Linked DNA regions of Tribolium castaneum. The protein of the gene in region 2 interacts with the protein of the main gene of each other region in a pairwise test. Links are inferred from orthologs where the notes say so. Each region holds a gene or a part of one and is shown on either strand. Other genes may lie near its edges.

Region 1 (2,845 bases), on a different chromosome or scaffold from region 2:
TCCAACAGGGTTTGACCGTTCTGTGGTCGATCATTGGGTCAAAGTGAACGATCAAGAATCGCTCCCCATGGCCCGGAAATTAATTAAAGAGGAAGGCTTGTTGTGCGGTATTTTTCTCTTTATTGTTTTGGTGTTGTTATGACTGGAATTAATACAGGTGGCAGCGCCGGTGCCGTGGTTGCTGCGGCGGTCAAAGCGGGCCGTGATTTAAAAAAGGGGCAAAGAATCGTCGTTATTATTCCTGATAGTATCAGGAATTACATTACAAAGTTTGTTTCGGACCACTGGATGGAATCGAAAGGTTTCAAACAGTGTGACAATCCAAATAATCACTGGTGGTGGGACCAGAGTGTTGCCAACTTCACTCTGGAAGCGCTTATAACTGCAACTTCAAGTATGACATGCGAGAGGATCTTGCATGTTATGAAAAAACAAGGCATCGATCAGGTGCCCATTGTTGACAAAAATGGGTGAGTTGTGTACAAGTTGCCAACTTAAAATCAAAATATTTGAAACCAAGAAAATTTTTTTAAATTAAAAATTTAATTTTAGTGGAATTTTGAGTATGGTCACGATGCAGAAAATTCTAAATGTCTTGATCAGCGGCAATGTGAGACCCAGTGACTCCATAGACAAGGCTTCCGTCACTGTTTTCCCTAAGGTTTACCAAAATGCGACTTTAGGGCTTGTCTCAAGGATTTTAGAGCGTGAGAACTACGTTCTAGTTTTGGAAAAACAAAGTAATATTTACTCTAACTTAAATGTAATTTATTGAGTAATTATATTTTTAGATATTGGACAATCAACAATTGAAAAACCCATCGGAATTATTACAGCAGTTGATCTCTTACATCACATTTCAACAAATACGCCCAAATAAAAAATAAAAAATTCCAATTTGATAAATTGTTTTTTTACGTCCTTTGAACCTGTATGTGAAATTTACACGACGGCATGTTTAACACTTCTGACGTGACAAGACTTGCAATCCCTAAATTTGCCAAACTGCCTCTGATAATCCCACAAGTAAATGCAGCAAATCTGGGGGCTACCTCTAAATATTGTTTCCCGTTTGATAACTTTGTGAGAAATCGAAAACCGTTGTCTTGCAACACGTAAACACCTTGGTGGTTTGTTCTCAAGTTATCAATTTGTTTCTTGTAAATCGCTGACCAGAAATCGGTGCAAATGAATTTCATTGTGTCCAGTTCGTCCTTAAAACGCGGCATTTCTTTCGTCAACCTACGAAAAGTTAAATGAGGCTCTGTAACGATAAACTAGATGGAACACCTTTCTATTATCCTGTAGCCTGTTGAAAACCCCATGTACTCAATTGCGGACAAATCTTCGTCCTAGAAACATTTAAATTGTTCATTTGCCACAAAAGTCAATAAATACACCTTTCCCTCCGCGTTTTGATCCTCATTTCGGCTCACGAAGTAATTAATTACTTCAGAATGTAAAAATTCAAAAAGTGTATCGTCTGACATTTTAAGGTTAGAACTGTTTGACACATGTCAGAAACGTCAGTTTTCAAAAAAAAATGTGGAAAATACCGCGTTATCAATTTGCTAAAGAATCCGAACCGGCGTTAATTAATTTCATAAAAGTGGCAAAAGAACAAGCAACAAACCGAAACTGTGATTTGGAAAAAGCCACTTTGTGGCAAACGATATTGCCATTGGTAAAAAATAATAACTTGGCTGTTTTTTGTGTTTTGAAAGATTTTTAGCCTTCGCACTTGATACAAAAGGTCGAGGAATGCAAAAATGCAAATGAAACACAGCCAAAATCGCCACCAGTAATTAACTTATGCTCAGACGAAGACACTGAAATTGCTCCACCACCACAAGTTGAGCCCAAAACTTGTGACCAAAAAGCCCTAAACGACATAGTTTGTACCATTAAAGACAATGTAGAAATCGAAAATGATTTACCCGATAACGTCACGGAGTATCTCGCAAAATGTGCAACCACAGACTTGGCAAAAATATTTCAAATGTTGGAGGATAGTCTCACAAGTGATGGAATTTTCTATTTGGGAGTTTCACTACAAAACATTTCTGGTGATCCAGTTAGATTGTTTTGTCACCATTTGTTGATGCCGCTGGTATTTATATTTACAGCAGTTTGGTAACATGTTTATGTCGTTTTTTAGACCAAGAAAACATGTTGCGACAAAATTGTGAATTTATTAGAGCAGTTTAGTTCAAAGTACCCCATTATAATAAACGAGGAATGTCTAGCACTAGTCCCGTCTTTGGAACAACACGAGACTAACATTTTTCTACAATATGTGAAGAATGTAAACTTTCAAACCGCATTAGCCAGGTAAACATTTTTTTAAATAGTATTTTTCTTTAGTGATTTAACTCTTGTAGGGATTTTATACTTTCGGTTGAAACACTGACCAAAAATTACATAATTATAATTGATTCTTTATTAAACAGTCAAGTGGAGTATGAAGTCTTAAATAAATTGGTTCAGTTGTTGTCCAACAGTTGCGAAGATCATCAGGATGATAAAAATTTCGGGAAACTGCTAATGCATACCATTGATGTCTTGGGTCCAAATCTGGTCCATGTTGAGCAAGCTTTGAAAAGCATAATTGCCGGTCATAAATCGGCTTTGAAAACGAAATTAGAAATGGCTTTTAAGACGAGTTATGAAGACAGTTTGCTATTTTCCCAGAGTTTCAGAGATTAATAAACTTTTCGCTTGATAAGATTTTTTTTTAATTTCGTGTTTAAAACTTTTGTACTAGTATCCAGTGCCACCAACGTGGTAATTTTTTTTTCCTTGTTTTTGGTGATTGTTGGTGAGGGAGTTTTTTGTAATTTACTAT
Region 2 (4,553 bases):
TTTTAAAGGAAAAAGTTCAAACTTAAATCAGTATCAGTTGTTGAGCGTATGTCATTAGGATCGCAGACAAATTATAAATAAATATAATAAAATAAATAAATAAGTAAAACATGAAAAATATATTCAGCAGGACACTTTTCTAAGATTTTTAGTTTTTATGTAATATTTAAAAAAAAATTTTTTTTGTTAAAAAATCAAATTATTTCAAAAACAAACATTAATTTAAAAACCAATAACAATTTCTCTTAAAAACAGCAGTGTCGAAAGCTATATTCAAAAATCGCAAAAAAATATAGAATGTTTCTTTAAAAAATTGGATAGGTTTGTATTGTAGCTCATTTCGGAAACATTCTGTATTCTTGAAAATAATTTTATGTAAATCAGAGGATTAGTTTATACAGTTTTCGTAAAAAAAGATTAATTTTCTAACTATTTAAAGTCAACAATGGACTTTTTCATATTGCTGGAACCTCACTCCTCTTATGAAAGGCTTTAAATCAGAAATTAATTCAGTTTACTTGGAAAGAGTGATATTTCAAGTTTTTTAAGTGACACACAACTGACGGCAGCTGTTTACTTTTCAATAAAAGCTTATTTTACTAAGGAAATGCTTTATACCATCCAGTGAGGCTATTAATACAAATAATTTGAAATAATAATTTTTAATTGAATTTAATAAGGTTACAAAAATTTCCTCTCAAAATGTGTAAGCTTATTATAAGAAAGGTTTGCTTTCTAACGGCCCATTTTGTCTTTTTTCTCAGGCTAGGTGTGTTTGCCGTTCGGATATAATTGCTTTTGTTCGTTGAGTGAGTTGAAATTCAATAATTCCTTTTAGTACACTCATAAATCTTCGTTACTTCGTCTTCTTATCCCTTGATACTTAATCTATAACGGTTGTTTATCTCTAATATCAGGTTCGGACATCTTGATATATTGCCCAAATAGCAATTTTATTTTTTATTGTAACAATTATCGTCAAGTTGATTTTTTCAAACACTCAGAGACACATTTAATAAAACAATTACGTGATCACGAAACCACACGTCTATTGTTTAAAAAATAAAACTATACTGATAAAATTCGAATTAATTAAATTCTTGTTATTTACACGGAGTAAAATAATGACGAAATTTTTATCGTGAAACAGCGTTGTTGGCAACAAGATGCCACTAAATGATTACTTGATAAATGCAAAAATTATTTTTGCATAAGTGGTGTTTGATCAAAAAATCGATTCATTTTCACATAAATCGGCTACAACGTCCGAAATATTTATAAACAGTTAATAAAATGCTTTAATGATGTAACACCTGCTAATTCCTCGCCATTGTAAACATTCTAATTTTAATAAAGTCGCTTGCAACCACTTCCAGGCGATAACAAATACGCGGACTTTTATTATGACAAACTAGGCGTAATTAACTTTAATTCGAAACTTAATTAACAAATTGCACTGCCATTTGCACAGCGGACATGCAAACAGGGCGAAAGCTTACGTGCGGTTGTCCTGCCGTATCAAGGATATCAAAATAAACCATCTCGTTGTCAATCACTGTGTGGAAAGCGTAAACTTTTTCCAAAGTCGGGTCGTACTCGCCTATGTATCTTTTGGTAATAAATCGCACAACCATCGCTAGAACGGAAGCCTGGTAAACAAACCCAGAAATAGCCGCTCTGGCAATTACCTGATTTTCCGACACCGCTTTGCCCCAAAACCATGACCTTCAAAGTTTTCGGTCGGGGGTAGAGGCCGAGCTTGGCCAGTGAGGACTTCGGAGATGTTGCGTTCATTTTTCGCTCACATCTGAAACGATAAAGTTTTCCTCATCAACGCCAGAAAGAAAAACCGGAAATTTTAATCAAACTTTCGGACAAGTTTGCCGAGAAATGTGACGGATCAATATTGTAAAAAAAATAATTGAGACGGGAGCCGAGTGCGAATTTACGAGTTCAAGGAATGAATAATGCAGCGGGTATTTATCTACAAAGTTAGTTTTAAATGCACTTGAACTCTTGAAAAGTCGCTGTTTTGTTTTATTTGTTGTCCTTACTCGCTCCAAGGTGGGCCGCTTTAACAGCCTTCAATCCAAAACAATTCCGAGCATAAAAGTGCGAAAAGCTTACTCAAAATTTTATGCACTTGCATCAAAAATAGATTTCGGAGTATAAATGGAGACGAAACTTTAGACGACTCATCACAAAGTTGCGCCTGGATGTGACAGCTTTTGGCGGAAAGCTCGTCACGTAAGACAAAATTTTAATTAATTATTATCGAACTAAAAAGCTCTTCGGGGCCCAAAATTTATGGCGTAGTTTCATTACATGGCGAGTTATTGTTTGGAGTTCAAAGGACATGCAAAACTGGTTAAACCTTGATTAAAACGTAAGCTTTAATATCAATTAAAATGAGTCTCGTGTCGCAATCCTGGCATTGTTTTGCTCCGCTTGCACCAATAAAATAAAATTCCAAATGCACAAAAGCTCGAAAAGCAATTTATCGGACACTTGGCATCGATGTGGATTTAATTAAAAGTCCCCCTTTGACGCCGATTGTTTACCACCTCGCGGTAAAATTTCAACTTTGATCGACTTAGAGAAATTCAAAAGTGTTTACTTGCAGGAAATCATAATAAAGCAACATCAATCACACGTGTCACGTCAATAATAAGCGGGAAAACACGCACCTGTGAAGGTCTATTTAAGCGAAAAAACACCACCTCGCAGCACGTGGCCGAATTTTGCGACATTTATTGCGACGTCCCAAAGCTCCGAGCGCTTTTGCCAAACTGTTCAAATGTAGGTTAGTGGAATTGAAAGCGAATAAAGCACGCGCTTGCGTTTCCTCGCTATTTATACCGAAATTTACAAGTGCTTTTACACTTATTCCCTTTGAAATCATTACGATGTTTACGGAGATTTTGGAAAAATGGGACGTGAGCGGATTCATGGGCGCCGAATTACCAATGGGCTTAATTCTATTTATCCTTCGTAGGTGGCCTCGCTCGGATCAGCGATGAAAGCTCGAGCTTCGTTCGGATAAATCAGATAGATCAGAGTCTACGAGAAATCACCACGCTGTGTGGGCATTATGTTCAATTACGCAGTCTAATTAATTTTTAATTTCAAAGGAAAAACTGTCACTCGCAAGTGTGCCTTTCGTGTTTTCAACAGCTTTTGTTACTTAAGTTTCAAAGTAAATACCTGCGAAATTAAATATTTAGCCCCAAAGAGATCAAAGCTTTGTGTGATTCTTATTTGCTTAGCCAATAGTCAATAGAAGGGTGAAACAATGTTGGGGGCGTTTAAAACTGTTGACTCTCGAACCCGGTCTCTTATCAGTGTTTCTCTTATTTTGTCCTCAGACTTGAAATTAAGATCCCGACAGACATCGGTATCTGACAGCTTTATTAGAAAATTATTTTTATTGAACCTTCGATCAACGTTACATAATTTTGTTTGTCAGTCCAAACGGCTATTTTTGAACAAAAAGCGATTTTTGCTTTCAAAGTTCAAGGAGTGAAAATTAATAGAAAACGCAATAATTTTTCTCTAATTTCGATTGACACCTTCTCAAGTTGTGACTCGGTAAAAATTGACTCTTAATTAATTTGCATAAGTTAATGGATTATGGCAATAACTAAGTTTGAAACTATTAAGCTCTTCCAGATATTTACTCTCATTATGCAAATCCAAGTAAGAGGGTCATCATAATTAATAACGGCTTGTTTGTAAACTACTAGAAAATCGATAGGAAAAGAACGATGAGTTATGACGCTTTGTCTGCGCGGTTTCCAACAGCTATTGCAGGTAATAAAAGTTTAAAGCTCGGCACAAGAATTGAGGAGCGGTTCCTGTTGGCTTAGCGAAAAAATCCGATTGTCTGCAGTTGCAATCAAGGATGTTATTTATTGTCTTGTGATTATTTTGGGATGAGTCAAAGATAGTCGTGGCGTTAACAACCGGATATCGTATAATTGATTCCGATAACGAAGTTATTTGTAAAACGATTTGTTATATAATTATAAGACCCATAAATCACTTAATCTTGCACCTATTTAATCACGCTTCTGAGGTCGAATCATGAACACTGCGTGAAACAAGACTTTGGAACCAGTCACCGTAACTTCAGCTGGATTTTAAGAAAACTGCTAAAATTAGAATGTTTACTAATTCCACGGATTGACCCTCCCACTCTTATCCTATTATTTTGATATAAAAATGTTTTTTGCTCAATAAAACTTATCACGTTGTGAAATTTAATTCGTTTACCTCCGAATCGATTTTATTTATGTTTATCTTAAGTCACTCCACAAGAACAGATTAGATTTTTCTCAATTTATTTCTAGAATTGTTATCAAGAGGTATGACATTTCATCTAAGCGTGAAAGCGTGATTTTTCTGGATTTCGCCTCAAATTCTGGGTCAGTGCAGCAGTGACTCGATTAAGTAAAAGAGATAAAATATTAGAAACAATATTTATCGATCGGAAAATAACAAAATTGTTTTCTGATCGGATGCAACCGAGATAAAAATACAAATCCTGGCAAAAA

The links.
Region 1: the proteins of uncharacterized protein LOC664374 (region 2) and Trs33 interact in a two-hybrid assay, tested with the Drosophila melanogaster proteins (2 studies listed by BioGRID). The link is inferred for Tribolium castaneum from reciprocal best matches to the Drosophila melanogaster genes CG5160 and Trs33.

What each region holds. Positions count from the first base shown.
Region 1 is NC_087396.1:20,058,608-20,061,452, forward strand, and holds Trs33 (trafficking protein particle complex subunit 6b), read right to left. Parts: upstream 1,539-2,845; 5' UTR 1,491-1,538; coding exon 1,401-1,490; intron 1,353-1,400; coding exon 1,291-1,352; intron 1,243-1,290; coding exon 915-1,242; 3' UTR 881-914; coding exon of another isoform or gene 792-880; 3' UTR 747-791; downstream 1-746. Other genes in the region: Cbs (cystathionine beta-synthase), read left to right, coding at 1-107, 158-470, 553-740, 792-880; uncharacterized protein LOC103313595, read left to right, coding at 1,544-1,684, 1,733-2,110, 2,159-2,331, 2,382-2,706.
Region 2 is NC_087397.1:6,593,028-6,597,580, reverse strand, and holds the start of uncharacterized protein LOC664374, read right to left. Parts: upstream 2,889-4,553; 5' UTR 2,688-2,888; intron 1,808-2,687; 5' UTR 1,795-1,807; coding exon 1,689-1,794; intron 1,637-1,688; coding exon 1,500-1,636; intron 1-1,499.